4 linked regions of the Lytechinus pictus genome follow. The protein of the gene in region 3 purifies or fractionates together with the protein of the main gene of each other region. This does not show direct contact. Links are inferred from orthologs where the notes say so. Each region holds a gene or a part of one and is shown on either strand. Other genes may lie near its edges. The genes, in order: DNA helicase MCM8-like, DNA replication licensing factor mcm2-like, mini-chromosome maintenance complex-binding protein-like and kelch-like ECH-associated protein 1B.

Evidence for each region.
Region 1: the proteins of mini-chromosome maintenance complex-binding protein-like (region 3) and DNA helicase MCM8-like purify together in Homo sapiens (co-immunoprecipitation; 3 studies listed by BioGRID and IntAct, with this or other methods). This does not show direct contact. The link is inferred for Lytechinus pictus from reciprocal best matches to the Homo sapiens genes MCMBP and MCM8.
Region 2: the proteins of mini-chromosome maintenance complex-binding protein-like (region 3) and DNA replication licensing factor mcm2-like purify together in Homo sapiens (co-immunoprecipitation; 6 studies listed by BioGRID and IntAct, with this or other methods). This does not show direct contact. The link is inferred for Lytechinus pictus from reciprocal best matches to the Homo sapiens genes MCMBP and MCM2.
Region 4: the proteins of mini-chromosome maintenance complex-binding protein-like (region 3) and kelch-like ECH-associated protein 1B purify together in Homo sapiens (affinity purification with mass spectrometry; 3 studies listed by BioGRID and IntAct, with this or other methods). This does not show direct contact. The link is inferred for Lytechinus pictus from reciprocal best matches to the Homo sapiens genes MCMBP and KEAP1.

Annotation. Positions count from the first base shown.
Region 1 is NC_087251.1:4,115,516-4,123,598, reverse strand, and holds the start of DNA helicase MCM8-like, read left to right. Parts: upstream 1-4,423; 5' UTR 4,424-4,733; intron 4,734-7,379; 5' UTR 7,380-7,452; intron 7,453-8,083. UniProt on the Homo sapiens protein: Component of the MCM8-MCM9 complex, a complex involved in the repair of double-stranded DNA breaks (DBSs) and DNA interstrand cross-links (ICLs) by homologous recombination (HR).
Region 2 is NC_087247.1:54,894,178-54,902,517, forward strand, and holds the start of DNA replication licensing factor mcm2-like, read left to right. Parts: upstream 1-4,732; 5' UTR 4,733-5,170; coding exon 5,171-5,176; intron 5,177-8,340. UniProt on the Homo sapiens protein: Acts as a component of the MCM2-7 complex (MCM complex) which is the replicative helicase essential for 'once per cell cycle' DNA replication initiation and elongation in eukaryotic cells.
Region 3 is NC_087256.1:19,441,203-19,449,546, forward strand, and holds the start of mini-chromosome maintenance complex-binding protein-like, read left to right. Parts: upstream 1-4,876; 5' UTR 4,877-5,136; coding exon 5,137-5,194; intron 5,195-5,978; coding exon 5,979-6,058; intron 6,059-6,644; coding exon 6,645-6,785; intron 6,786-7,931; coding exon 7,932-8,075; intron 8,076-8,344. Other genes in the region: phospholipase DDHD2-like, read right to left, coding at 1-110, 617-831, 1,563-1,940, 4,637-4,751. UniProt on the Homo sapiens protein: Associated component of the MCM complex that acts as a regulator of DNA replication.
Region 4 is NC_087255.1:5,859,600-5,867,355, forward strand, and holds the start of kelch-like ECH-associated protein 1B, read left to right. Parts: upstream 1-4,533; 5' UTR 4,534-5,127; intron 5,128-7,756. UniProt on the Homo sapiens protein: Substrate-specific adapter of a BCR (BTB-CUL3-RBX1) E3 ubiquitin ligase complex that regulates the response to oxidative stress by targeting NFE2L2/NRF2 for ubiquitination.

The sequences.
Region 1 (8,083 bases), on a different chromosome or scaffold from region 3:
TTAATTCTTTTTTCAATAACAGTTAAAAGCTACAGAAATCCTTCATTGTGATTGGCTAATTGTAAATTTGTTAATAGAAATTGTACATTTGTTATAATAACAAGTCTTTATGAAACGGGATCCAGATGTAAAATAAGAAAGGTATGACAGTTTCTCATATTTTTCAAGGTTAAAGGCTTTATAAAAAGTAGAGAGTTGAATGTGTCACTCACTATTTCTTTTGACAAAGAGACCCTCCTGATTGAACCGAAGAATGCCAAAAAGAAAAAAAAAGGTAATTCCATGTGTTCAGGATGTAATAAAACTTTTGTTTCACATGACAATGAGAAAATTGATATTTCATACAATAAAATACAAATAAATAGTTAGTGGGTGATGTCATCAGTCCCATTTGCCAGTTTTTTAGCCGGTAGAGTAAATTATACAAAATAAGGCAGCCATTTGTCTTTGAACTAACAAATTTTGTAATTAGATATTGTTAGAAATAAAACTACAAAAGATTACTTTTTTCATCCCATTCCATGCTTAAGAAGGGGTATTTTGACCAGGAACCTGATCAAAATAAAATTTTGATGTAAAATTGATCCAATAAAACAGCATGTATATATGCAAACTGTGTAATCTTAGTGAAACTTCCAAGCAGTCCGAAAGAGGAGTGTCCAAGAAACTCTGGTATCTTTTCTTTTATTCAACTTCACGACTTCAAACTTTCACAGTATGAAAAAGAAGAATTGCTCTTTCAGATAAGCTATTTTTTCTAATTTTTGTTGTTGGAGATTAAATTACTATTATGGCTATTTACAGAGAACCTTACCTGGCAACTTATTGGTGGTTTTGGGGTGGTAGGTCACATATGGTAGTGGATTGTATCAGCGAACACTTTTCATGAATTCAATCATATCAACCACATTATTCTCATAAAATTCACCAAACTTTCACCATAAATACACAAATACCTACAAAATATAAATATGTAAAAAAAAATTGCAGTACTTAATCGTATTTCTTTTTCACGATTCAGCTTCCAATTGGACCCCTCTTCGCATGTAAAATATTTTGGTCACTTGAAAAAGGTATTGTATTACCGAGTGTGTGTTTTCTATGGGAAAAGTTGAGAAAACAAAAAAAAATGAGCTATTTTTACCATATTTTATAAAGACTTTGAAAATGTGTTTTTGACTATTTTTCATTATCTTTTTATTCAAGTTCCCTTTGGAAGGATGTTGCAGTCTTGAGCATATGAAATTATTTTCTAATGCACATGATGCGTGTGTTCTGTAATACAAGGCTGGTCGGTAATACAATCACTCACTATACACATTCATATACATGTAGATCGAATCTAGAAATGAATTGGAATATATTTATAGTGACATGCAGTTTGGGGGAATAACCAAATCTAACTTATAATGTCGACATGTGACAATTGCTGCTTGCATGGTCTTTAAACCCGGGCAGCACCCCCCTCTCAAGTTTAATGTTGGCTGTCAGGCCACTGCATCATTTATTTTAAAGTATTCTTTTATCGCTTCTTCCAGTGAATACAAGCATAATCTGGCTTCATAAATTTCATAACTTTATAAATGATACATCACAAGTGATCCATTCATTTTCCAATTCACAGAAAGAAATCAAGAAATACAATACTGAAAATAGAGAGAAAAAAGGGTGGCACTTCCATTGACGAGTGGTCAGAGTGGATTCCATGCATGACCTTGGGGTTTCAAAAAGCACCCTATACAAGTATTTTCCATGTTCTGAAAATTCACCCCTTAACAAGGATTGGCGTGTAAAACCCTAGGGCCTATACCCTTAACAAGTATTGGAAACAAATTTAACAGAACGGTACCCTTGACAAGTATTCCCTGAATGGAACCCCTAAACTAGTACAACAATATCTTAAAGGAGAAATATATTGATTATGAATATGGCCTTATTATATATCAGTGGAGAGGTAATGATGTGAGGATTACCATTAGGTCATTCAAAAATAACGAAAATAATACATAAGGTGGAAATCGCCAATTAAAAAGCGCTAAAATGCCTCTCCGAAATATGCCTCGCATCGGTCTCTGAATTGACTCGAATTTGATGACGTCACTGTCTGTACGAGAGGCGTGATTGGCTCTCCCACGTCAAGCTCCACTTGCATGCAAAACCTGTTGCGAGGGTACGTTTTCTCCACACTGACACTGAATACTTCGATCATGAAATGAAAGAAAACCCAGAAGTTTATCTAGATTTGGATTTTCAAATTGATGATTATGCAGATGAAGAGAATGATGATAAAGTTTCTAACTCTAGAAAAACAAAGTGACGTGGATGGTGGTAAATTAAGGGAATTACGGCGGTGATGATGAGTAGGACAATTCAACTTGCAAGCCGATTCGCTACCAACGCATGCAGCTGCTAGCTGCACCGCGGGTCAAATCCATGAAAATGAATTCCATGTAGCATGACCACATCCACACAGAGTCTCTTTCCTCTATCAACAACATAATGAGAAGGAAAATAATAAAATAACTGTACTTACAAATAAGTGAATATATATCCGAACCTAGGCTGAAGGTAAATCAACTCAAGGAATAGCAGCAGACGATATGCACCGACGATGAATTTCACGTGGCTGGAATAGATTGTCACTCGTTCTGTTAGATAAAATGTATATCTCATTATTTTGACTAAATTACGAAACTCGGAGAATTAGTATTTTACATAAAAATTAAGTAACACCTGGTACTATTTTTTGAATTACGATAAAATATTTTTGAAGCAAAGAAATTGAGGTAAATTAAAATAAGATATAAAGGATCATCCCCTTAGCCGCATGCGATTGTAAACAAACAATCAAAAGCACATGGCCAGCTTGCTCCACTGAACTGAAAATACGTATTTTCAGTTCAGTGGCTTGCTCGCCCATAGAGTTGGATAAAGCGTAGCTTTATCCAACTCTATGTGCTCGCCTTGCTGATTGTTTACAATCGAATGCGAGCTAGGCGGATGATCTTTTATATCTAATTTTAATTCACCTCATTTTCTTTGCTTCAAAAAGGTTTTATCGTAATTCAAAAAATATAGTACCAGGTGTTACTTAATTTTTATGTAGAATACTTATTCTCCGAGTTTCGTAATTTAGTCAAAATAATGAGATAGAAATTTTATCTAACAGAACGAGTGACAATCTCCCAGCCACGTGAAATTCATCGTCGGTGCATATCGTCTGCTGTTATTCCTTGAGTTGATTTACCTTCAGCCTAGCTAGGTTCGGATATATTCACTTGTTTGTAAGTACAGTTATATCATTATTTTCATTCTCATTATGTTGTTGATAAAAGAAAGAGACTCTGTCTGGATGTGGTCGTGATGGAATCCATTTTCATGGATTTGACCCGCGGAGCAGCTATCAGCTGCATGTGTTGGTAGCGAATCGGCATGCAAGTTGAATTATCCGACTCATAATCACTGGCGTAATTCCCCTAATGTATACCTCTATCCACGTCACTTTGCTTTTCTAGAGCTAGAAACTTCATCATCATTCTCTTCATCTTCATAATCATCAATTTGAAAATCCAAATCTAGATAAACTTCTGGGTTTTCTTTCATTTCGGGATCGAAGTATTCAGTGACAATGTAGAGAAAACGTACCCTCGCAACAGGTTTTGCATGCAAGTGGAGCTTCACGTTGGAGAGCCAATCACGCCTCTCGTACAGAAAGTGACGTCATAAAAAATCCCCAATTTCGCGGACGTAATTCTGCGTGTTTGAAGCATTCAGAGAGAGAACTTTAAACTATCAATTAACTGAGTTCCATCGGTCTCTATGATAAATGATTTACACCATCGTGTTCTCCTTATTTTCTCCCTTAATTTGATATATGATTCTCCATTTTTACGATTTTCAATATAGTTCTACTTTAACTGTTAGGTTAAGCCCCGGCCCGTTAAGGACGTCGGCTTATTTACCTTAGCTTTACTTTCCCTGGGTTTTGTACCACCCAACACACCTTGCTCAAATCGGACCCTTTGGCTTTAAAAAGTTTTTTATACACATATTGGGGCAAAAAGTACATCCTTATTCAAGTATTTAATCTTTTTATACCCTCGCAAATTGGACCGTAAACACATAGTTTTCCTGGCGAAATAGGCCTTTTTCATTATTTTCGTGTTTTTTACACCCTAAAATAAGTAAAAAAGATACATGTAGTACTAGTAACAACTAACAATAACATACACATGGTTTGTGAAGAATGAAATCAACGTCTGGTGAGTTGATGAAGATCCATTGGGCACTAGACTATCCAACTCCAACTCCGAGAGAAGAAGATTGAGGAGTCATTCAATCAGCAACAATTGTAGATCTACTGGTAACACTAACAGTTAGTATTTAGAAAGGCCATGGCATGGAGTCTATGGTCTGGAGGTATACAGATCCTACATGGAGATCGCGGGGTAATGTACGTTTCGGTTTTCATCAGCGAATTAGTCTTATTTCCAATTTTCCACTGCTCACCTTTGCACCATGGTCGGGACCCACTCACACAACATGCGAGGCAATGGTGATTTTATTTCCTTTTTTATTTACACGGCCTCACGTCCCATCTCATTTCTTGGCCCCCAGCATTGACTCAAAGTTCGACAAAATGTGCCTTTTGGTAGACTAATTTTCACAAGCCAAGCAAGAGCAGAGTTTCTGGCGCAGTTTTCGAATTCTGAAGTCGATTAGGCCTATATTATGTAAGTAGATGGTAACTGACCTATTTTACTAATTTACGGTACCGGTACCTGAAAATTGATTGAAGATATTCATGGTATCTGTGGTCTCTTAGAAATTGATATCCAGTTTTGCTCGGATTTCTGGCTGCTCCTTAAGTTAACCCAGCGGGCTGGAGCTCCATGGCCTGGCTGGGTTAGTGGCTCCTTGATCCTTAACCCAGGGGTCTCCGGCCCGCGCAGCGCGCCGGAGCCCAGGGGCTTACCGTGTATCTGACCGGGACTAGCGTGATTTATGGTCTAAATATTTCTCCAAATGAATTGTGAAAACAGAAATTATGCACTTACCATGATTATATGGATGAACATGAACAAGGTCTAACGAGTGGCAGTTTCCTGACATCGAACCTCGAGGCACAGACTGGAACTTAAAAAAAACGAAAAGATCTCTCCTACCCCCGTCTCGATCGGCCATTTTTGTTATGAATCAATTTTCACGGTAAGCCCCTGGGCTCCGGCCCGCTGTGCGGGCCGGAGCTCCCTGGGTTACTTGATCCTCAGCTCTAACGTATACCCAGTTGTTGTGTGTCCGGACAGGCATGACAGGTTGTGTGGTACGGACGATCAATTTTAGAAAGTCATTTGGAAAAATTTACAAGCGAAGTTTCATCAGTTTTTAGTATGGCAGTGTGTCCAAACTTCGCGCGTGTCCATACTTCGCGGACGGTCCTTATCTAAAAAACTAGCAAATATCCTTAAAATCTGACATCATCAACGTGAAAAGCGACCTAAAATTACCGTATAATGAAAGTTTCTTTATGATGAGTTCAGTATTCATGAAAATATTGGCAAAAGATCGGCAAATTTGTCACCGCTAGCGCCCGTTTTGAAGAAATCACAAGCATCACGATATCACCATTTTGCAAGCAGAAATCATCAAAAATGTGAGTTAAATGTGGTACTAACCGATTCCATAGCATTTTGCCATCAATCTGATTTAATTTTTCACTTTTTGAACTTGAGTTTTTGTTTAAATCTCCACAAAAGCTTTGGTGCGCGAAGTTAGGTCACACTTTTCTAAACGGTTTTCCAGCACAGCCCGCATTCGCCGATCAGAATAGAATTTTGAGATCGCGATACCGGCGAAACCCCTTGACCTACTTTACATTTTCGTCCATGATTTTATAGTTTACGATCTTGCCGTCAATGTGGTAACTATTTCTTGAATTGGTTTTGTATAAATTATGAATATTTTGCGAACAAAATTAAGCCTGATGAATATTTTTGAAAAGTGCGCGAAGTTTGGACACCCCATCATACAAAATATTAGGAAATATTATAGAGAACAAAATAGAAGATGATTACTTCCATTGAATTCATATTTTTAGTGTAATCCTAAGACAAAAAAGAAGGCTTCAAAAATATAAAGTGTCCGGACACCCGACCCCCCATCCTACAAAATGTTAGGAAATATTATAAAGAACAAAATAGAAGATGATTACAACTATTGAATTCATACATGTAGTGTAATCCAAAGACAAAAAAGAAAGCTTTAAAAATATAATGTGTCCGGACGGCAGACACCCGACACCCTATCCTACAAGTTAGAGTCTAACGTTGGCTCTGCGCTCTCTAGCAGCTAGCCTCCGCCCGCTAGTCCCAGCCGGCCGGGAGCTCGCACGCCTGCTCTGCTTAGCCGTATATGCCAAGGGAAGGCGGGCACAGTAAGTTGAGCATAGGGGGGGGGGGCAAGTTGAGCCACCACCCCCAGCCAGGCCAATAATGAATGAGTCAGACATTGTGGTGGTGTCATGTATTGATGACCCATTGCATAACCCCTAACAACAAAAAGTATTTTTTAGAGGGAAAAATACAAATTTAAGCCCAAAAAGTCAAAATAAAGGGTGTGAAAGAGATTTAAAGTGTTTTTTGCACACACATCTTTAAATATAAAGACATGCATAAGAACAACGTTGTTAGTCTAGGTATGGATCCTCATTCTTGTCAAAGTATTTTACATGATGGATGCATAAGAAATGTGTGGATGTGAAAATATCGCATTAACTTAGTTTGGATTGGGGTAAGTTGACCCAGCCAACATGGGGCAAGTTGAGCAATGGAATTCTTAGTTATGGTAATGTATAAAAAAAACTTTAAAAGCCATTGATTTGCAGGCAGAAAGGAGCAAATTTACATGACTGTTCTTTTCCTTTTAGAGGATGTTAGTATTTATAGAGAATTAGCAAGTGAATAGACTTTGAATAAAATGCTGGTTCTTCCCCCATACATTTTGTACGGTATAGTTTTTGTGGCTCAACTTACCCCACAGATGGGCAAGTTGAGCCATTTGACACCTCGATCTTTTTTTAAAGGTGACAATGATCGACTTTCAGTGTGGGGGTAGAAAGTTATATTTATAGGTGAAAAATATTTCAGAAGAATTACATTTTAAGGCAAGGTACTTATTTCTACAAGATTATTAATCATATCAATTCTAACATGCAAAAAGCAAAAAGTGTCACAATTTAACTTACCCCGCCTTCCTCTATCATTGCCTAACTACAACTTAGTGTGCATGTAGGGGCATTCCATAAAGGTCAGACGTACATTCGGACACATTTGAGAGCCGTATCTTCTTTGATTTAATAACAATGTTTTGTTTTTTCCCAGTACTTAGTAGCATGTGATGACAGGACCAGGCCCCAGCCAAGCACTCATTCAATGAACAAGGTTATGATATACCGTAAGTAACGGTGTATTAACCGCACCCCAAACTTTGGACTAAAAAAAAAAAAAAAAAAAAAAAAAAAATCCTTCTCACATTTACATGCATATTTGAGGTACGAAGAAACAAAAGCTAAGTTAAAGATTTCAAAGTATTCAAAGAGATTACCGGTATGCGGAAATCTGCTGTTCTTTATCAATTCATCTACAAATGTTAGCAAGAAAGAAAGGTCCCGACAATATTGGCCACTTACACACTCACTCACCTCACAGTCACAGTGTACACACACACAGCACTGCCGTTCTTGTACATGTACATTGCAAACTTCGATACGGTACCACTACCAGAGTACCAGTACATCTTATCAAATTGTGAAAGTCTGTCTTTCACATTTCTTGCATCACAACCTCACAATCACTTTCAGAATTTGTCTAGCATTCGATGGCTTAGCATGAATTTTGGATACGGGATTACAGGAAGGTTCAAGAAACAAAGAAATTAGAATTTTTTCCAGTTGTTTTACGGCTTCGTGCCGTCTCTCTCATACGTAGTGCACGGTGTACATGGTATCTTATGAAAAGCGAACAGGAAAGAAAAAATAAGCTGGCGCGCGCGAAACGGGACTTTGAGGGGTTAAAGGTAAATTGTG
Region 2 (8,340 bases), on a different chromosome or scaffold from region 3:
GTTGTGATTATATTAATTGTGAGGTATTTGATCAGAATAAAGAGGGAAATTTTAATCTTATGCATTTGAATGCCAGAAGTTTATGTAAAAATTTTGATGATCTGTTACATTTACTGTCATGCTTAAAACATGATTTCTCAGTAATAGGTGTTATACAGAAACTTGGTTTGAAAGATGCTACTGATATCCGACTGTTTCAGATACCTGGCTATTCTTGCGTTCATAAATGTAGGGCAGGAAAATCGGGGGTGGGACATGCTTGTATATGTAAAAGATGACATAGATTTTGAATTACGTGAAGATCTGTCTGGTTCTAAGACATGGTATGAAGTAGTCTTTGTTGAAACAACAATTCACTCTGAAAGGTTATTATTGGTTGTGTATATAGGGCACCAAACTATGATAGTATGTCTTTTATTGAGGATTTTGAACATCAGCTACAGTTTGTGAGTAGAGAGAACAAGGAGATCTATTTGATGGGTGATTTTAACATAAATTTATTGAATTATGATAATGATCAATGTGTTAAAAGTTTTGTTGATTTTATGTACTCCTTTGGAATGTTCTCTCTTATCACAAAACCTATCGAGTGTTACAGAAGACAGTGCAACCCTGATGGATGCTATTTTCACTAATTGCATTCAAAATGAATTTTGCTCTGGTGTAATTTACTCAGATATTTCAGATCATATGCCCATATTTTGTGTAAGAAAGGATGTATTTGCATTTAAGTTGATGACCTACTCAGAATTTATGTTTAGTAAGTGTGCATAATTATGTGGGTGAATGCGGTTGTGTGTGGGTGTGTGTGTGTATATATGTGTGTTTGTAATAGTTTTCCATTCTATTTTTAGCATCTTAACCTTATTATATATCTATTTTTTCCCTCTCCTTTTGTATCTTGTAGATCAGTATATACTATGTTTTATGTGAATAATCATAAGTATTCTCACAAGCTTTGCTTTTAAAGGGGTCCTAAAACGAATTCGTCTATGCTATAATATAATTGATGTATGTTCATGCACTCATTTACGTTGTATGTAATATCTATTTTGATTATGATGTGATGTTTTTGGTTTTGAATAAATAAACTTGAACTTGAACTTGATATATATATTGAACATTGAAGGTGAGTGGAGTGTCTCCACCACCTGAGATTTGCCAATGGTATCATTCTAATTACTGATGATGGCCACAAGCTAGAAAATATGCTCAACGATCTCAACACTGAAAGTAACAAAGTAGGTCTGAAGATCAACATGAAAAAGACAAAAATAATGTTCAACAAATTTGCTAAGGAGGAAAGAATCATAATGGATAATTCTGAAGTCGAGAAAGTAGATCATTACAGCGCGTCCCCCCAAAAATGTCCCTCTGATATGCGGCTAAATTACTTCAAAAAATAAAAAAATATTCTCAATGAAATGTATAAGACTAGGAAGCTCATATCATGTTCTAACTTCTTTAAAAATCTTATTGGTCTCGCTTCAGTGGTTTTGAATACACAGTCTATTATGTAACAGTGGTGCTTTTCAGCCCATTCCAAGTTTGCATGCATGCAGCACTGCTGTGTGTTCTGCACTTTCTAGCATATCAACCCCCTTTGAACATTCTGACCAAGGTATTCCCTGATCTGATCAGGGAAGTCTCCATGATCTAACCAAGCTCATCAAATCACAACCTTGAGCATGTTCAAAAGGGCAAAAGCAATATTTGACAGTTCATTTCATGTTTGATAATAGGAGATGCACAATGATTAAAGACACTAACTGGTCATGTCTGTTTCATGCCTAATTCATGCCTACTTCATGCCTAATACTGCATTTTTGTTTTCATTATTTTTTTAGTTAATAAGCTACTGTGGTCAATGAAACTTTTTAAAAGAAAAAAGAGGTCAATTTTTTCTCTGGTAAAGTTTCTTTTTGCAAAGGGTGATTAACTTGTGGATTCACCTTTATTTTTCAGCTTATTTTACTCATCCCTCATTCACATTTTCTTTCCAAGTTGGTGCACTGATTCCCCGTATCATCTTGGATGTACAAATGGGGGTTAATATATGCCATAGACAATGCAGAAATGCATCAATGCTGCAAACTTGGAATGGGCTAAAATGCACCACTGTTACGTAACAGAGTATGTATTCAAAACCGCTGAAGCGCGACCAATGAAATTTTCCCAGAAGTTAGATCATGAAATGAGCTTTCTGCTCATAAACATTTATTTGAGAATACTTCCACATTTTAGAATTAATTCAGCCCTTTGTCAGAGGGACATTTTTTTGGGGACGCGCTGTATATCTACCTTGGGCAACACGTCAGAATGGATCATGAACAATTGGAGGACAAGAGCTGGATGGATCGCTTTTGGGAATTTCAATGACATTATGAAGAGCAATATGCCAATTTGCCTTAAGAGAAAAGTATTTAATCAATGCGTTATACCGGCAATGACCTATGGTTCTGAAACCTGCATGGTCTGTAACAAAGAAAATGGAACAGAAATTAAAAACCACTCAACACAGTATGGAACGTATAATGATACGGATATCAAAACGTGACAGGAAAACCATACAATGGATTAGGAGCCAGACTAGAGTAATAGACATAATCAAAGCAATTAAATCAACGAAATGGAGAATCAGATGGGCTGGCCACCTTGCAAGATCACATGATAATAGGTGGACCAAACGCATTACAGAATGGAGACCATGGCTAGGATCACGAAATCGGGGTAGACAAAAATTGAGATGGAGTGACGAGCTCACAAAATTCATTGGCATAAATTGGATTGCATCAGCACAAGCATGACAAGACAAGCGCCTTTGGCACCAACTTGAGGAGGCCTTCGCCTTGCAGTGGGCTGAACATGGCTGATATGATGATGATGATGATGATGATGATATAACCAAAGGGAACATTTTAAGCACTTGTATAAGAAAATTGTTGAGGAGATATGGATCTAAATGTTTTATCCTTTTTTTTTTACAAGAATCAAGTTTTTTAAATAGATTTTGACATCATATTAAAGAACATATCATATTTCACCCTTTTTCTTTTCCTTTTCTATTTTTTCACATTTTGTTGTTGTTGGGGGTCCATCATGCACCCTCCAAGTCCAATATCTGAAGGGGGTGGGGTGCTAAAGACCGGTATTGAAGAATACACATGCATTATTGAAAAATCGACATGAAAATGGGCCATATATCATTACACTTGTTAGTTTTCCTGAATATTTCTATTCACATCAGAAACCTGCATGGATCTTTTAAAGAACAAAAATTACTCTTTTTGTGACATTCAGAAGAGTGCTGTCACGACATTATTATTTCTTTTAATTCTATTTCATCTTGGATTTGATTTCTTTCTCCACCCTTCTGTTTCTACCAATATCTAGAAGGATTGGTTTCATTAGTAAGACTAATCCAGAGAAAAAAATTGTCATCATGTATTGGCCTACGTACGACAATCAATTATAATATTACACAAGTCATGATTACCATTATCCCCGGGCTATCATCCGATCAGCTTGTACTCCCTCGTTATAGGCCTATCAGGGGTGATAACATTTTATAGGCCACCCCATCTGAAAAAGAGGGGGTTATCCCCCCCCCCTCCCCGGTGATCGACATCTATATGCTCACAGGAGTGCGAAGCGCGAGCCATTTTTAAAAATAATTATAATGACCTGAAAGTTTATAGGCCTATATTTTCCAATATTACATAAAATTATGATTAGGCCTATTTATTTATTTATTCATTTATTTATTTATTTATTTATTAAAATTTTTTACTTCTTTTGTTTCTCCTCCTCCTCCTCCTTCAAGTGAATATTATGTAGAATAAATGAGATAGCAGACTTTCACAGGAAATCCGCCATGCAGACAATCCTCCCACCAGTACAAAAGATTCACTGCAGATCTTTGCTCCTATATAAATTGAGGCAAAAAAATGCCTTGATTTTTTCAAATATATATAAGTTTGGCAATTTTTAGTAAAATTTAATTATTACTTTGCATCAATTTTACTCAAGTAAATTAAGTTATAACAACTTAATTCAATTGAGTAAAACAATCACTCAAAAAAACTGAGGGGGGAGTGCCGGAGTGGACTTTCGTTATTCGAAAGTCCGTTCCCCCATCGTCCCACTTTAAGTAATTTTGGCATCATTTTCACTTTAGACATTTTTATCCAAATATTAGACTTTAATGCATTGTCACTATGCCTGTAGGGCCTAAATGATAGGTACCGGAAGTACTCGAACATTTACATTTATACGCGACCGGTTCATCCTAACAAATAAAATTGATAATATTAACATTTTCCGAAAACCTAAAAAGAAATCAGACGTGTCATGACTATGTTCAATGATGCTCTTTCGTTGATTCAACTAAAGAATAAAATATTTTGCACACCCAAATTCAAAACAATTTCAAACACAAATAGATATTAACATTTACTTGCTCTTACCTAATATTTAGGTATTGTTTGAATAAGGCGTTAATTGAAAAATATAAGTGTATTGAACATGATTTTATAAGTATAGGCCCTAACCGGGGCCCTAATAACTATCTTCGCCTATTTGGAGTTAGATCCCGGAGTTAGATTTTATACTTAATCGAAGCATAGACCTCGAAGCAAGCTATAGCAAAATAAATCAAGTGAATTAAAAGACAAGTTAAATCTATTGTTTAAAAAATAGAGAAATAATTACAAATAACAAATTCTACTTAGTCCAGCAGAAAAACCGACAAAACGATGGAGACACAGCATTAATTTGGTCTGTTATTCCCCTAGGCTAGCCTCAATTCATTCACTTTTCGTCTTTCTCTTTAATATATCCCCCCTTCCTTCACTTTTTTTTTTTTTTTTTGCACCGCCAATATGGAACTACTGCAGCTTTCCCATGGGTCCGCCAATGGTAAATGTGAAAAATGTAAAGTGGAAAATTAATTTGAACCTGGTTTACTGTGTTCAGAGTCTGTTTACGCAGACTACTTTCTTCGTTTTGCTCAACAGTTTCGCGGGGATTTTGATCACGAGTGTCCTATTGCGGGAAACAGCTGGCCGCGAATTTCTACACATGTGAACATTGGTGCAGAAAGAAAACAAACTCCGAGTGAATCTCCACAGACCGATTGCACTGCAACAAATTTTGTTATATCTGAGAAAAGATGGCTGTAAGTATTATTGTATTTTTCTAAAGAATATTGAATCTGAGGATGGTTTAATAAATGAGAAACCTGATGTGAAGACCGATAGTCAGACCGAGACGAGTTGCGAGTTGATGTTGTGATGCGGGTGTTACTAGATTTAACATTTTAAGTACCGCCGCCTACCGGTACCGGTATGGTTTGCACGTGTGTAATTGTTATATGGGTATTTAAAAATGGTGGAAATTTTACATCTCCTGATCGTGGCGTTTGCGTTTTAACGTCGCGACCGTTAGACTTAGAGTCTCGGTATCAGGGCATAATTGTACTTGATGCCCCCAGGGGACATCAACGTTTTTACCTTTTGGTACTCCTTGATTTCCCGATGATTCTTCGTTACCAAAATGTAAACATTTCTTTTCTCACTATAAAAAAAAATAGAAAGTAGTTCTGGTTTGCGCTAGCGCACCCCATATGAGATGCGAGTACAAATGCGCAAACAGGTGCATCTAGATGAGCGCGCATCCTTGCCTCCTCATCTATCCTCTTATTACTTGCACTTGATGCCCCCAAAATTGATGAAAGCAGTGATCCGGCGAGTAATCCTAGAACTAGAAGTGTTGACAAAATTAACCTTGATAGCTAGAGAATAAACTCTCTATTATTACTTGTACTTGATGCCCCCAAATTTTCCAGTTATTCAGCATGTTTATTCAGAAGTTTACATTCCACTAACCCCATTTCCCCTCTTTTTCTATTTTCTAGCCGCGCAAGCCTTCATAACATCGTCGAAACGAATTAACCTTATTGGCTAAATTAACCTTGATAGCTAGAGAATAATCTCTCTATTATTACTTGTACTTGATGCCCCCAAAAATTTCAACAAAATTAACCTTGTAGCCAAAATTAACCTTGTTGGCAAAATTAACCTTGAGAGCTAATGTAACCTTGAGAGCTATAGCTCGTCTCTCTTATATTACTTGCACTTGATGCCCCCAAAAATTTCAACAAAATTAACCTTGTAGCCAAAATTAACCTTGATAGCTAATGTAACCTTGAGAGCTAAAGCTGGTCTCTCTTATATTACTTGTACTTGATGCCCCCAAAAATTTCAACAAAATTAACCTTGTAGCCAAAATTAACCTTGTTGGCAAAATTAACCTTGATAGCTAATGTAACCTTGAGAGCTATAGCTCGTCTCTCTTATATTACTTGCACTTGATGCCCTCAAAAATTTCAACAAAATTAACCTTGTAGCCAAAATTAACCTTGTTGGCAAAATTAACCTTGAGAGCTAATGTAACCTTGAGAGCTATAGCACGTACGTCTCTCTTATATTACTTGCACTTGATGCCCCCAAAAATTTCAACAAAATTAACCTTGTAGCCAAAATTAACCTTGTTGGCAAAATTAACCTTGATAGCTAATGTAACCTTGAGAGCTAAAGCTCGTCTCTCTTATATTACTTGTACTTGATGCCCCCAAAAATTTCAACAAAATTAACCTTGTAGCCAAAATTAACCTTGTTGGCAAAATTAACCTTGATAGCTAATGTAACCTTGAGAGCTATAGCTCGTCTCTCTTATATTACTTGACTTGATGCCCCCAAAAATTTCAACAAAATTAACCTTGTAGCCAAAATTAACCTTGTTGGCAAAATTAACCTTGATAGCTAATGTAACTTTGAGAGCTATAGCTCGTCTCTCTTATATTACTTGTACTTGATGCCCCCAAAAATTTCAACAAAATTAACCTTGTAGCCAAAATTAACCTTGTTGGCAAAATTAACCTTGATAGCTAATGTAACCTTGAGAGCTAAAGCTCGTCTCTCTTATATTACTTGTACTTGATGCCCCCAATTACTTTATTTGTTGCGCGATCAACCGAACCACGCGCGGATGGATATCAACTCGCCGATGATAAACAGGGTCGGGTCGAGGATCCACGAATCAAGGTAAAAAAGTTGATGTCCCCTGGGGGCATCAAGTACAATTATGCCGGTAATAGTCTAGATCTAGGTCTATGTAGGCAAGTCCAATAATTTAATTATCTAGAGTCGATCTAACTGAACTCGTTAACAGTTAGATCTTGATGGACCTATATTACTTACAAACATGCCCGGGCCAGGGGGGGGGGGGCACTCAATATATAATGCATAGTGGGTATGTGCCGCGGAGGGGACCCCCATTTTTACACTCAAATTTCCATTCCAAGGCATAGCATTTTTGTCTTATTGAGAAAAAGAACAAAGAAAGCTGCTCCAAAGCATAGCATTTTCTTATCGAGAAAAAAGGAAGAAATCTGCTCCAAAAAGACCAAAGCTTCGCATATTTTCTGTTGTGCCGTTCCGGCCGCGCTTGATGTAATACAATGAGCCGCAGTTTTGGTGAAAAGTGGCCACAGAGGGCTGTCCGACCGTCGCCTCTGCGCTAGCGTACCCGGCGCCCGTGTTGCCGGGCTAGCTGCATGCACGTTCCTTCTTCTTTGTTGTTCTTCCCCAGGTATCTGAGGATCAGCGGCTATCCACAGGTTGGTTGTTGTGTTGAAGTAATTTCTCTAAGACTAAGCGAATATGATGAATTTTAAGAATGTATCTGAGGCAGTGGGTCATAACATTGGCAGCAAGAGTGACAGATAGGTGCGAGGAGGGTAATAAGATATTAGTGGCAAGGATGAGGGGATGAGCAGAGGTGAAGGCTTGGCTAACTGAAGCAGGGAGGCTTAGAGATAGGACATGTTGAATTAGAACAGACCGTTCCATAGGGATGCATACGCAGGCGACCCGTTCATGTTTTCACAAACATTTCGTTCCGAAGCCTGTTCCGACCCTCCTTTTTACAATAAGCCCGCTCCAAGGCCCCCGTTTTTTGTCTCGCCCACGGCATACTTTTTTGGTTGAGTCCCCCCCCCCCCCCCCCCCCCCCCGGGAAACATGACAAATGGACATTCTATAAGAGCATTTTACGACCACCACCTGTTTCCAATCCTCTAGAATTTTACGCCCAAATGAAAATCAACTTCTGACCGAAGGTAAGCGCGACTATCGACATCAATACTGTCCGAAAAAGATGCATTTTTAACGTTTTTCCGCACATTTCTCCATCGAATTTTAACTGCTTTTTTGCTGTAGATATACTGATCTGCACGGTGATGTCAATGCATTTTGTGAGCGGTTGTTGGCGATGTACGTA
Region 3 (8,344 bases):
TGGGGTTGGATGGTCTGGTATGCACCCCCGGACCTAGGGGATCCTCCAAGGGTGGATTGGGTCTGCTGCTGGATCTCTGCTGACGTGGGAGGTGGTTTGCTTGCATCATACTGGGAAGGAATATGTAAGAGGAGGCATGGTAGCTCAGTCAGTAGATTGGTGGTCTCATAATCCTTGTGCCATTTGGTTAGGCATTTATCTTCATTACCAGCTCCCTTGGAAAGGGCACTAAATATTCTGTTGGACCTCTGTTTACTTCTTAACAAGCATCCATGCTTTCTTAGCAGTCAGGCTAGAGCCAGGATAATAGCAGCGCTTTGTATCCTCAGGTAAAAAGCGCTTTATAAATTCAGTTAGATTCTTATCATCATTATTATTTCTAACCATCATTTAGTCAGTTGGTTGCTGTAACATTTTCTTGTACATAAAATTAAGAAAAGCCTTTTTAGAAAATAATTTATCAAAGGCCAAGTTCATCAACAAGTTGATTTGAATAAATAGTGAAATAAAACGAGCAAACAAAACACTGAATCATAATTACTAATAATACAAAACACCATGACACACTTTCAAAAGTAAAAATTTCATGTAAACAAATTCTTGAAATAACCCGTACCTGCTGTAATTTTGGAGGTGGCGCCAAAATGCCTGGGGGTAAGGGCCCGCTTGCTGGAGTCACACCATCTATTGGGTATGCCATGGGCTTGTGTTGGTACCCTTTAATACCAAACCTTGCCCCAGCTTGTCCAGAGGGAGGGGTGGCACTTGGTGGAAGAACACCAGTTGGAGGAGGAGCACTAGGGGAATAGCTGGTGACTTGAGGTGGTGGGCCTGCGTGTTTGAAAAAGTGTATTAAAAAAAATATTTCATTGATAAAATGAAATTCTACATGAAAATTGAATCCAGTAAAACTTAAAAATTGTTGTTCAATAATTTCTACAATGTTTGTGCATACAAAAGGAGATTTAAAAAAAAAACTTTTGAATAGCTAAAGGTAAATTGTTTTTAACAATACTTACATAGTTAGTGTTGGAAGTTGTGGTATGAGCAAATTAAATGAGTTCAATGGTATCCCTTTTAAAATACAAGTTTATTACAAGTTTAGAAAATCATCTTTAGAAAGTCCTATTTAATACTGATCTCATTCAATAATTTGAGAAAGGTCAAGAAATGAAACATAAATTCACTAGGAAATCTGCCCACAATGGCTATTGCTTATGAAGACAATTATTCTTATCTTTGTACATTTAGCATCACATAAGGTTCTACTCTATTCAACACATGGCACAGAGAATTTTCATGCAAGAGGACGCAAATAATCAAATTTTTGGCATTATCACAAAGTAAGTCACCCGTCAATTCGCTGCCATTTATTTTGTCAGTGCTGGTGATGTCCTTGTCCTTCCCCTCCCCTTGTGACATCACTCCCATTGTCTTTGTACACAAATTGAGCTAATACAAGGGAAGAGAGGTGACAGATTTCGAAAGGAGGCCACATTTCCTTTAAGCATATAAATACAGTTCTAAGCTCATTGAATAGATGGGGAAAAATGAGGGCATACCTGGAGGGGGCTCATCTTGAAAGTGTACTCCACGAGGCTGAGGGGGTATATTCTGAGCTGATGTGAACGGCACTGCCTGGGGTGGGGCCTGCACTGAAGGCGGTGGCCCAAACTGGTTTGTCGGTGCATATGTTGGCACAGCTGCAGGACCCGTCAGTGGGGCAGGTTGGGGCAAGGGCGAGGCAAAGGATGTCTGACCCTGTGAGGATATTCCTGCGAATGGGTCTGATGGGGCAGGGCCCGAGGTCTGCTGCTGTTGCTGGAAGTAGGAGAATGTTGAGGGTGTGGCTTGTTGGTTTGAGAGTGGGGGTGGAGCCCCTACTTGGAGATCTGGAGGATCATTCTGCCCCAAGAAGCTATCCGCTTCACCGTCTTCATCTGACAATACAAAGAAAGATACTTCATAAATCTTTTAGTTTTTCACAGCTGGTTGTACATAGTGTTACTCATATTCAAGGGACGTGTCATTGTTTCTGCAATTTGTTGCTCTACCTTGAACCCTTTCGACTTTATCTCAGTCCAATTTATACCGCAAATGCCACAGAATGTTACTATATTCAAGATGAGGTTGTACAAGTATGGTGAACAAAATGGAAAGCATTTCCCTTGATATTCTCTGAATTTCTGAAATGTTATCTTAATCATTCCAACAATTTGATTTGCTTTCTGCACTACATTTGACACATGCTGGTGTAAATTTAATTCCCAACAATAATTACTCCAAGGCCTTTTTCACTTTTGTTGGGCTTCAACTCCTCTCCATTCATGATGCAATTATTATGAAGATTTTTCTTTCCCATATGAACCACCTTACATTGTTAAACATTGAACTTAAGGCATAAGCTGCCATCTTTCAGACCTTTAAGTTGCATTGTACAGGTCGGTTCGGATAGCTTCAATAAATTTACTAAGCACATGTCAATAATTAAGATGTTGGGTCAATCATAGAGGGGCTATAGCCTGGTACATCAATTGGTTTATGAATCCAAAGTCACAAAATTGTATTTTCTTCTTGGTTAATGATCTTTAGAATGTTTGCAACAAATTAATGAAAGCTTTGTTCAAATATTAAAATTGTGTAGCTTTAGGTCCCCCGATCACAGTACGACAATACACCAGACGGTGGCCTGTACTTATAGAGAAGAAGAAGAAGAAGATCATACTATTATGACACTTTTTCAGCATACATGTAGCGCACACTACTAGTTAGAGTAAAACCCCCAAACATCGGACGGTTCCAAATATCGGATGAAAATTACTTTAACTCCCTCCCCACAACTACAGGGACCCGCACTGGTGGGGGACTTGCATGCATGAGATACATGAACATATCTGCTATTGAACTGCACACACAGTAGATCCAGGTTGCTGCTCAAAAAAAATATTCCAGGGGTTAAATCCAGGGGTAAAATCCGTGATTTTGACTTCGAAAGATTCTTATGACCCTTGCAAATAGTACCTAGCAGCTCATCAACCTTGTGACAAACACACTGAGAGAATACCGACTAGGAGATCATTTGGGTGTGGAAACGACCCACAACGAACAACAACAACAACAATTGCTAATTATGGACACCAAAAGATCAATGACCAAAAAAATATCGTAAGGAAGTGATTTCCGCCAGAAATATTGCTGCCGAGATCGCATATATTTGATCTATCGTAAGAAAAATAAAGAAAATAGTTATTACTTAACGATTTCTATATCAAAATTATTGATAGTAATAATTTTCTCAACAATCAAGCAATTATTTTGATGTATAGAGCGCGATTTAAATTGCCGAAATTGATCGCGGCGCACAACTTGGAAACTGCGTCCGATATTTGGCAAAAAAACAAGCTTCTGGTAGTAAGCGAATAATTTCCGTTTACCATATTTTTTTCATTTCTTTTTTTTTATGACATTAATATTCAACATTTGTATGGTGGTGTGACCTTAATTCGCGCGTTACCTAATTTTTCGCACAGTCGAATATTTCAATATCTAATTAATATATTGAAAAACTGATATCGCCAACAGAAAAAGCGATCCAAAATTACAATACAAAGTATGGTAATTTCCTTGAAGGTAAGGTCTCAATTTGTGAAAATATTGGCAAAACATTGGCAAATTTTGTTACCTTTTGCGTCTGCTCCGAAAAAATCTAAACTTCTCGACAAGCATCAAGAAATCGCCAGTTTGCAAGCAGAGGTATCCAAATAAGTAAGTCAAATGTTATGGCATTTTAACCTCCATCAGATATAACTATCTTACCTTTTTCTGTTTGATTTTATTTTCTAAAGCTGTGCAAAACGATTGTGCGCAAATTAAGGTTACACTTTTTTATGACGCTTTTTCAGCCGTGCCCGCACTAGTCGATCGTCATGGAATTTTGAGATCGCGATACCGGCGAAACCCTTGGCCTACTTTCAATTCCTTCAAGCTCATGCTAATTTGACTTTGGAATCTTGCCTTCCGTTTGTTTGGTGTATTATGATTTTGATTACTTTTGTGTAAACTGTGAGAAATTTTGGATTGAAAAAATCAATTTTTAAAATGTGCGCAAATAATGGTCACCCCATCATACTTATGAAAATACAAATGATTTTTATTTGATTCAATCAATGACAATGATTGATTTTTTGTTTTGGTCAAATTTAAGTGTCCGATATTTTGGGCACATACTTCTAGATTCTACTTCTACGATACTCAGCAGGAGACTTGCTTTTCAAAAAGATAAAAGAAACAACCCAAACACCTATTCCCTACCAAAATTTTGTCTTCTATCTTCTTCTTCGATCTTCTGTGTTGAATTCCTCCGTTCCCTGGAGAACTGCAAGCCTTTAGTTGCAGTGCAGCATGGTAAAATAATGAGCTATGTCACTGTTTGCAGCAGCTTGATCAACAAGGCGCTGTCTTGTTGTCTTGTTGTCTTGAATCGAAACAGCAGATCGATTGTTTCTATGTCTATGATCATAGATTCTGACTAACATTAACAATGTGACAAAAATATAAACAAGTGGGACTAAATAAAAAAGTGGGGACAACATAATGTATGAAATATCCACCAAATAAAACATCTTGGAATACTAACCTGTAGGAAATAACGATGCTGTTGCAGGCACGGGTCGAAAAATTCCAGGTGTTATACTATCATTAGTCGAACATAACAATAAAGGAGGTGGGCTGTTCCCTTTTTGGTCTGCCATATTCACCGGTTCGGTTCTGTTCGATGTGTACACGTCATATATCCGCATATGAATGAGGTCAAAGGTCAATTTAAATGTCCGGACTTTCCCGCGCCACAATGCAAATTTCGCGCGATGAATGAATCATGTGTGCAAAGCATTGTGTTGCAGTGGGGCATTTAAATTTGCTGTGTTGATACGATATACGGCCGGCTCAACGTGAAGAAAGAGAATTTCTTGCACTTGGAAGATCTGACTTTTCTGTGAGATCTAGGAACAAAATTCTCGTTGTTTTCTTTTTGAAGATCTGAGTCGATTTTACTTTTTTTGATATCATCATTTTCCACTGAATTGAAGTGCCGAAGTGAAGTTAAGTGAAGTCAAGTCAGAGTCAGACTTCTCAATCATGCCAGGAATAGATGACTGGGTGAATTCACCTCTTGACATTGTACAGAGTTTATTTGGTGAGTAACGAATTCATGGTTTGGATGAGGAAGGGGATGGAAAAGAAGAAGGAGATAATAGAATGAAGAGGAAAAGGAAGAGGGGAAGGGGGAAGAAGGAGGAAGGAAGAAGGAGAATGAAATATATGAATGAGAACAAGATTCAAGAAGAGGAAGAAGAAAAAAGAAATATGGAGCAGAGAAGGAGTTGGATGATTTTCCTGGTATTGCGTTGAAATTTGCTCTACATTTTTTAAAGACTGCTAGATCTAGACTCTACACCAAAATTCTTTTGTGTAGCAGATTATTTCCACATAGGCCTAAGCAGTTTATCTAAAGAACTTGGTTGCGAGCTTTTCTCTTGTGACCAAAAATGCTATTTTGATCTTGACTTTGATTTATAGCAAAATTATTTCCTGGGGAAGAAAGATGGGAAGAGAAGAAGTAGAAAGAGGAATTAGGAATATTAAGAGAGGGTTGTCTAGGCCCCTAACAATAAGAGGAAGAAGAAGGATGTGATGGAGAAAAAGAAGATTAAATGAGGAGGATTGAGAGCTAAAGAAGACAACAAAGAATAATTGGAATGAATAGTCTTCTTTTGGTCTTCTTCATGAGTCTGTGTAGTGCATCATGTGCATGTATTTTATTGGCACATTATTAGTATTATAAAATCAAGAAATACTGTAGCTTGACAAGACAACTTAACTTAGATAGTCTGGTTTAACTTTATTTTTAAGTTAAGTTATTGAAGAGACTTGAAAAAGTCTACTATTTCTTTATTGTTTGTTTTTCAATTCATGTGCAGATGCTGAAAATAAAGAATGGAGTAACAATGTCGACGGGTACTTCAAAAATCGTCTGAGTGATTTCACAGCATGGCAGAGGGTAATTTTTTTTCTGTTGATACACAATTATCCTTAGGAAGAGAGGACTTACACTTCTAATGGCGTTGACTTCTACCTTTTAACTTCTTTAGCCTATTGTTCCTTTTTTACACCTTTCTATTTAAGACAAGGACCATTTAAATCTGCTTTATTACTGAAGAGTAAACCTTACTGTATACATCTTGTGGCCTTTTATTTTATTTTCAGCCATCATTCCCGAGATCCAAGTTATTCCCTGTTAATTGTAATTGTTGTTTTGTTCAAGAGAAAAAAATGTACCTGATTATACCTCGTCAATGTGTTTTATATCAGTTTACATGCCGAATCAGTCAGTAAGCTCTCATCTGATTTCATAGATTTCTTTGGACATGTACATGCTTCTATTTCACTCATCTTTGAAGATTTGGTGCTACATCCAAGACAAAATTCTCATTGTTTGTTTGTAATATCCATCTCTGTTCTTCAATTCGAACCACAGAATCCCCGTAATAATTACCATCGATTGATGGGACATGTAGAATATACTTTGTTGAAAAGTTCTGTGCTCTGAATATACCCTTCCTGTATTATTTTGGGTTTTATTTCAGATTCCATCTCTTAACCACACACCGCTCCACACATTAAAGCCCAACTCACTGGTCCGGTACCGATGTATGGTGCAGGATATGTTTGATCCAGAGTACTACCTTGGGGTCTACGAGGTCCAAGATAAAGCCAGCAATACCACAGTAAGTGAATAGAGGTTGACCCAGTCTACCAAGAGCAAACTGGGATGGGGGTGGGTTGGGGGTGCAAAATATGGAGGGGTTTGAGAGTCAATAGACCAGTTTACAAAGTCACTGTCCTAAATCACTAGATAATATAGAGGTTGACCCAGTCTACCAAGAGCAAACTGGGATAGGGGTGGGTTGGGGGTGCAAAATATTTACAGGGGTTTGAGATTCAATAGACCAGTTTGTACTTACAAAGTCACTGTCCTAAATCACTGGATAATATCCCACATATATTTAAGACCCTAGAGGAGTCTTTGTGCATTTCGATCAGACACAAGTAACATGGGTTTCCCATGAATAGCTTTTAATTCCACTTTGATGAATTAATACCTCGGTTTAGATATCAAAGAATGAAAGCTCTTTTTTATTCACCCACTTTATATGATCAAGGATGCTTGATGTTTGGAATACCCATTTGCCTTATTTTAGTGTTGCTATGTCGGGAGGTCATCTAAGGTTTTTTTTTTTCATTTTAGTTCACATGGCCTTTACCTGCTTTTACTCAGATTATATCTACACACTGGCTTCAGGCCAGTTATATACCTCAGTCACATTTGCTCTGGCGGCTGTACGGCGAGTCGAAAACAGCCATTTTCACATTTTTGTAATAGCTACATACAGGTGGTTTGAATAAAAATGAACCTGCCGTACCGCCGCCGTAGAACAAATGTGACTGAGGTATTATAAATGTAAACGTCGGCACAATACTAGTGCCAGGAGGCCAACACCTTCCTTAAAAATCACCCAATGGCCTTACCATTTGAGGATTTGTGTGGAATATACAGTGTTTATTTTTCTTCAAATTTTTTCCTCCCTCAGTTTAATAAGTGACTGGATGGTATTGGTATTGAATGCCTCATGTAGATTGACAATAATATTGGTTTTATGATGTCTTATGTCTATCTGTTTTATTTTCTAATTCTATATATTAAAAAAATCATTGTTGAAATGGATTACTTGTATACAGGGTACCCTTGAAAACAAAGCTAGTTAAGCTAAGTTCGTCGGGCTAAACTATTTTTTTTTTAATGAAACAGATGAATAAATGAACAGATGCAGTTAGGTAAAATTGGTGTCATTTTTATTTTCTCTTTTCTGAAGTTCCTAAGAACTGGGAAGTATCAGGATATAGCAGAGAATAGTCGCGATCTAGAAGTCAACCTTGAATCAAGAAGGAATGTCACTTGTGATCGTCAGACATTATATTGTGTTCCAGTACCAGGAGAAAACAACTGGATCAAACAAATATCCTTTTCTGTTGTAATACTTAAAATAGAAGTACATGCAGTAGTAGTAGTAGTAGTAGTAGTAGTAGTGATAATGATGGTGATAATGAAGGTGATGATGAAGATAATGATGATAATAAATCAGTAAATAATTAATATGATTTTCACTCAAATATGCAAGGCATGCTTGTGACATAGAAATAATTTCAGAAGAAATAATTAGAAGAATATAATGAATCATATAAAGTACAGGTATGTCTTGTTTTATCTTGATGTTTGACAGAATAA
Region 4 (7,756 bases), on a different chromosome or scaffold from region 3:
TTGTTTACATATAACCCAATCTGCTGCCTTTGATCCAGTGTATTTTGGAATGGAAAAAAAATGAAATCAGTGTGGATTGCGTTTTTTTTTTTCAAAACTGAAATATATGCCATATCATGTTCAGAATAAGTAGGCAGTACAGTAATATTGCAATTCATCAATTTGATATCAGGGCCTGCTTTGTGGGAATGAATGTTGGTACCTTGGACTTTCAAGATATGGATTGTGATATGATAGATGATGATGATTATGATGATGATGATAGTGGTGGTGGTGGTAGTGGTGGTGGTGGTGGTGGTGGTAGTGGTGGTGGTGGTGGTGGTGGTGGTGGTGGTGGTGGTGGTGGTGGTGGTGGTGATGATGATGATGATGATGATGATGATGATGATGATGATGATGATGATGATGATGATGATGATGATGATGATGATGATGATGATGTTGATGATGTTGACGATGATGATGGTGATGATGATGATGATGATAATGATATCTATAGTTCCATTAGCTTCATGACCTTGCCCCTGTACCTTGATTGTTAGCTATTGTTAGCTACATGTAGCTCTAAGTTCATTTCTTTGCTCTAAGCTCAAGTACTAACTAGCTTTTTCTCAAAAAGATACACCCATTGTATTTATAACTGTTTTGGTAACTGCTCTCTATGCTAATTTGCTCTAAGGAGGATATCTATACTTTGGGGATGAATAAAGCTTGTTTTCTCAACACTTTGTAGAGTGTTAATTGCATTTCATCAGATCATCGTTTGAATAAAGCTCACAGTTCAAAGCTGGGTACCAGAAAATCTTTTAGTCAAATATACTGTCTGCCTTGGCTTATCGTTCGCCTGTAAAAATAGGTTGGCTAGAGTGTCAAGTTTTCATGCATTGTCATTGTTTGATGAACATACAGAGCTACAGTCGTGTACATGTACTGTACGTATGTACGTAACTATGAAATTGTGTTTTTATACAGAGAATCCAAATTCAAGCTCATATTGGCTGATTCGAGAGACTCTTATGTATCAACACGCTCAACCTCTAGGTGGTATATGTCCGGGGGGGGGGGGGGGGGCAGTCAAATATATTGCTGTTCACATGCGTGGCCAAAAAAACGCATTTTAAGGGGTGTTTTTTTTTTCAGCTGTGGACGCGGGCTGCGCGTGCAATTGTTAAGGGTATCAAAAACACTGATTTTCAAGAAAAAGGGTGGTTTTGAAAAACTGGTCAATGGTCAATCGCGGGGTCAAACGTATTTAGGGTATGTTTTTTTAAAGACTAGCCAAACCTGTTTAGGGTATGTTTTTTCCCAAAGCTTTTACCCCGAGGTCATATTCTGGCGACAACTTGTTTGGGGCCAAATTGTGTAAATAAAGCCCACAAAAAACTTGTTAAGGGGTTATCTTGCACACACAGAAAAAACTTGTTTAGTGGGTGTTTGGAAATAATTTGGTCATGCGTGTGTTCAGCAATACATTTGACTGCCCCCCCCCCCCCCGGCATATGCTTTGTTTAAAGAGTCTCGGCAAAATTCAAGCAGTCTTCCGGCATCCTCTCAAATCCGCCTGGTACATGTATCTGCTGAAATGCATTCCAATGTTTGATTCTCTGTATGAAACATGAAAATAGTTTTAGACAAGTTTCTGATGTAATTTCGTGAAACGATTCTTTTCAGTGGGTCACGATTGACTTCATTTAGTAGGTGTAATCAAAATAGGTGTGTATAGACTCCCACTCAACAGAGCGTTTCGAAGAATCGCATTATCCTCATTTTTTTCTTGGGGTATATAGACCTGTGCTTTTGAAATATATTGTGATATGGTTTAATCCCTTATCATGTTTGTGCAAACAGTAAAATTCAGCAAAACGTGGTTTGAATTTCAAAATGCTGTTTCTTCCTATTCTTGCATTGAATGCCATTGCTATTAACTCACAAAAAGGGTTAATTTGGCTTTGATATCGTTTCAACAAGTCAGCCTCCAGGCATAACTCTGCATCACTTATCAATGCATTTTTTACACAACATTACATTTCTTGATACATGTATCTTTGCTTGGGTGTTAAAACCTTGTAATTCAAAATTTAACAATTTTTTAGGGCAGGCCAGAAAGAGTCAGTAGCGTACGCTGGGGGTGGTTGCAGGTGTTCAACCCCCCAAAAAAAAAATGTTGAAGACTTTTTTTTTGGCTTGTCAAAATTTGTGAAGACCTTTTTTTTGTTGTTGTTGTCAACTTTTCATTCAGCTTGAACCCCCCCCCCCTTTCAAAAATCCTGCGTACGCTACTAGAAAGAGTTGTATTTTATGATATGTATAGTATATTATAGCTTAGCTGGGGTAATATAGGAGTGCCTTGAGCACCTAGCAAGGTAGCCTCTTGTCGAGGCCCTGTCGGCTGCTTTCCGAGCGAACATGGCAAAGCAAGGGAGAGAGCGAAGCAGAGCGCCGCGAGACAGGGCCTCTTGACATCTGTGCCGAATTTCACCGACTTTCTTTTGTTTTTTATTGTTTTTACCAATTCACCGACCAAAAACTGGTCGGTGAAAATCATCCAATGAGAGCGCGGGCTGCTATGACGTCATATTAAATATTCATGAGCTCATCTTGAATAACGACCCTTTGATTCTTGGCGAAGAGTGACGACGAAATATCAAAGAGCATTGAATATGCCTCTAAAATGCTGAATATTGACCGATTTAAGGATTTGCAAGTCGATGAAATTAACTCTGCACTGAAAGGACGAGATGTCTTTGTAAATCTATCCACAGGATATGGAAAAAATTTAATATTTCATGCGATTCCACCGGTCGATCCGGGGCGTCGATTATCAATCTCCGCTGTACAGTGCATGCAGTGAAGGAAGCTGGGGTGGAGTTGCTGGGAGTTGACTCGAGTCTGACCAGCGGCTGAGCAGTATCTCCTGGGAAGTTTCGGGGCGGTGATGGGTCTGTTACGGCCAGTAGTAGTAGTAGTAGTAGTAGTACCACAACTTGTAGCATTTTGCTGGTTATATCCCCTTTAGTGTCCCGCAATTAAATGAATCCCCTGCAGAATAGTGGACTACTATCCCGGACTACTATAGTATTCCAAACCCAAGTCGAAACAGCTCTGACATTTCATTGGTTTACTCGGTGACCGGTAATATCATGACTCATGTATATTCATTAGGAAAACGTTCCTCATGAATATATAATTCGGTTCAGATGTCAAGAGGCCCTGGCTCGCGCCAGGCCTAATTCGCTTCGCGAATTAGGAAATCCCTCGCTTCGCTCGGGTAGCAGCCGCCAGGGCCTCAACAAGAGGCTACTAGCAAGGTGGATATGTGCACTATACAAATCCTATATTATTATTATTATTATATGGCAGTGGGAGCAACCTCATATTATCAGGAAACAGTCTCTTATTTCCTGTTGAGAACCCTTTCTAGGCAAAGGAAGGGTTCTTTATGTTTATAACTCTGGAATCAAGTTCTTTTTTAGCTATCTGTATTTCATTTATTTCTTTTAAATATGTATTACAAAATTTTAAACTCAAGCGACGATGTGCACCTGCATACAACTCATGGATATTGCACAACAGCTAGGTTTTTTTCCAACTCGTTGTCTTGCACAGTGTTAAGCAGATTCCCATCAATTGTGATTTTTTTAAATCCAAGTTTTACGTTTCTAAACATTCATGTAAAGGTAAGTATAAACACACCCCATGGCAGCGGGTGTGTGCTGCTTTCTGAATTTCCAACTTTGGTTTGTCTCAAGGAAACATCTTCACAAATTTTTCTTTCTTTTCTCATCTTCACATCTTTATAATTTAAAGGGGAGTCTATGCTGATGTCAAATTGCTCTTTATACAGCTAGGAAAGTGGCAGTTCTCCACCAGTTTTGAGCAGTTTCATATATATAGTTATTAGTTTACAGAAGGACTTATACATTAATCGTGGTTTTATTGGTACAATCATTAAAAGTAAACATGTGAAACAAGTAACTCTTCTATTAATTCTCAATGATTTGTATTAGTACACTTTCTCTTTGTTACATAATGCAATTCAAGTAGTTCCTGTTTGAATATTCTATTTATGGAAACTGGTGTTTGATATATCCCATTGTCTGAGTCTAGTCTTGAGAAGGGATTTAACTGACACTTGTTTATTTAGACCCACTTTTTATGAATCCAATGGAAAATGTGTCTTTGCAACACTATGATGAAGCCAGGCATCTTATCCACCAGGTTCTTTTTTTTTTCAAATAAAGAGAGGGAATAATTGACTTAATTCCCATTCACTTGGTTCATTTGTTAGATAGAGCATTTGTATCAGTTATTTTATGCTTCAATAGATTTCCATTGGACAGGGAGATGGATCAAAGCATAATTCCGTGATCAATAGTAGGTGTCCTATAGCCAAGGTACTTAGGAGTGATTGTGTGTGTAGAATAATGCTGAGTCACATATTCTTTAATACTCCACACTCAAAACCCTGACTGATCAGATAACATGCTACAGTGACCCTCACCTGCAGGCGATAGCATATTGCACCGTTCGTACACACACACACATACACACAACACACACTCTGTCATAAACGCACAGTCATGCCATGGTCGTGCATGCTGTGTGGACTCCCAACTCCTGCCTGCGCACGTATCTACCCGCCGATGCATTCTGGAAGGGAGATACGTAGGCAGTTGAATGAGTCCCAACCGTAAAATGGTTGGCTCGTAGCCGCCGCCGCAAGTTGAAGGTGTTTATAAGCAAGATGACTCGGAATAATTTGGCAGTATCCTACTTTACACTTGCTAGACGAAAACCGGCTTTTGTCATATTTCAGAACTACTAAATTCAATTCGGCCTGCAGGATATCTTTGTGTGTTTATAATTCATTGTATACCTCTGGTTTATCGCCAAATAGCATTGCTGGAATACATGTGCATCATTATATTCAGGATTTGTTTACCTTTACGAGTACATGTATGTGATTTACATCGAAAGATTCTCTGAGGTGTGCTTCGTGTTTCAAGTAACGAATAATCACGGAATAGTCACTGGACTGCTCTGAATATTGCGGATCTATCAACTGCAGAAATATTTTGGAATACTTTATTCTTGTCTTGTCTCTGTGTGGAATTTATTTCAAGAGTGGTATGTTTTACTCATTTTTTGAAGAAAACATATTCTAAATCCTCAGTATCATATTTTGTCTTAACTACCCTGTATGATGAAGATTAATTTTGTTTTGCATGATTGAAGAAACCATGGTGTATATAAGTGTAATTTCTTCAGTTTTGTTTTCATATTTGTAGGCCATGTATAAACTGAAAGACAAGTTTATTTCCTTTTTTTACTATATCATATGGTATTGAATTGATTTGAATCAAAAACATACTTTTCCAATTTTATACCAAATGTGTCAGCATATTTTGATGATGTATAGGCCCTGTTGGATATCATGCCTGAATTAAGGCCTCCCTGTTCTGTTTTTTTTTAATAGTCATTTATATTTATATAAATTTGGGTGATACTGATAGAATATCCCTCATTGATTTCCTTGTTTTGGTACATGGTTTCTAGTACTTACTTAAATGCATTTAAATCTCAGAGCTGCAGAGGCACATCTTACTTTTGTGTAGTGCATGTCACTACTCCAGTTCTTTACTAGATGAATGAATAAATTTGTAATACAGGATAAAGTGTGAGATTTTATGCGAAATATGATTGACTTGGGTGCCCGATCCAGTTAAAGTGTCTACATATTTTTTTTTACCTGCATGGAATGGACCCCAAAAATTCAAGTTGTACATAAATCTATGTAGCTTTCTTATCATATCATTAAATTTCTAAATTATGTGTTTGATTATCCCCTTTTTTTAACGAAAATGTTTAAAGTTGAAATAAAAAAAATTCAAATAAAAATGAAAATGTCGTTTAGGGGGTACTAGACATATAGACTAATCTTAAATTTGAATTTTAAAGATAAATGAAAGTAGTTGTAGTAAACACTGATTTCACGAGAAAATCTGTAAAACCAGGCTTAATTGTCACTGTATCATCGAGGATCTAGATATGGTACAGTTACATAAACTGAACTTTGTGAAATCTTAAAATCTACGCTGAAAAATGTTCACACTGAAGATCACCAACACAGACAAGCGCACGTGGGACAGTGTATTATTCTTGCTTTGGATGTCGGCCCGACGCTTGACCCGAATCCCGTGCTTATTTGCTAATTTCTCAGCAATTACACAATTTCTTCCAGAATCCTTTGGCACATATTTTTTATTTATAAATACAAACAGACACTTTAGTGGTCATTTCATTGGATTCTGTACGAACTCATTATGATATCGTTACCACAACTGGCATTTATCATAAAATCAAGAATGAGAGTTGAGAGTAGAGAAAATATGCTGACTCAACCTAAGACCACCGAGCCAGGCAGTGATCATCCTTACGTAACCAAGTAAATGATAAATGTGACAGTTCCACCATCCGTGCTTGTAATTATAAAACCTACATGTACCGGCACATGGAGCATATTTTATTGCCTGCTTCTTATTTATTATTACCCTATAACACTCTGTCGCTATTTAAATTCAGGTTGTCTCATATACATGATAGTCTTGAGAGGAAGTAGGCCTATTTGTATTGTTTTGAGAGGAAGTATCTTAAATCAAAATACATGTAATGACAACTGCATGTAGGTGAAGATTAAAATCATTAATATGAGTAATTATACATTGATTAAGATTTATTAAGCTGCAGACTGTTTTGTGCTTACTACTAGGCAATAATACAAAAATCATTCGACATTCTGATAAAAAAATATAAATTCTTATTCTGATCCTAAATGCCGGCCACACAATTACTATCGAACTGAGAAAGAGAATGGGAATTGTGATCTCTGATAAAGTATGTTATTTTCTTAAAATTGGCAACTGTGAAGACATTTAAAATGGAACTGCAATTATTGAATTTTACTTATTATTATATTCAAACTTCATATCTTAAGAGACCAGAATATGTATTGATTATTGTCATTTTAGCATATTGTTATTTAAGCAGTGAAAAATAGGAGTATAAATGATTTACATGTAGGGCCCACAAAAAAGAGTCTATAAATGTATTGTAGTATACATGTAGTATAGAAGTCCCAGGAATGATAGATCAAGAAGCGTTCACTCCCCTTTCTGGGTCCTGATTTCAACCCGAGCGAGCGATCGGTGTCAACGAACAGCCACTCGGGTCGCCCTACAGAACCTAGCGCACAGTAAAAGATGCCGAGTCAGCAGTCTTGAGATTCTGTCTCACAGTGACCTGAATGACTCCACAAGATATCTTGCAATGATTCATAGCAGATGGGTCGAGGATCAAACCCAGGTCCTTTAATTGGATGAGATATGGAGTGGTCCAGGTGGGCTTGTAGTGGATCGACTTGCTCGATTTCCATGCGCTCTCCGAAAGTGGTTGGGAAGGAATCTGATTAACCTAGCTACGGTAATCCATTTATTTCCAACCCACTAATTTGGATGATTTGTATTAAGTAAATTTCATGAAATTATGCCAAATTCTTCAAGGTTTTCTAGATCCACACAGTTTGTGTTCATAGGTTGTTGTGCACAATTAGCCAAATTAATGTTAATATAACCTGAGTTTAATCTAATTCTGTATGGATTCACAAACACTTGAAAAAAGGAATTGAATCCGGGGAGAGTGGAATTATTTAGATTTTATACATTTCCGGATTTAATTCGTTGCAGTGACTCGGCACCCG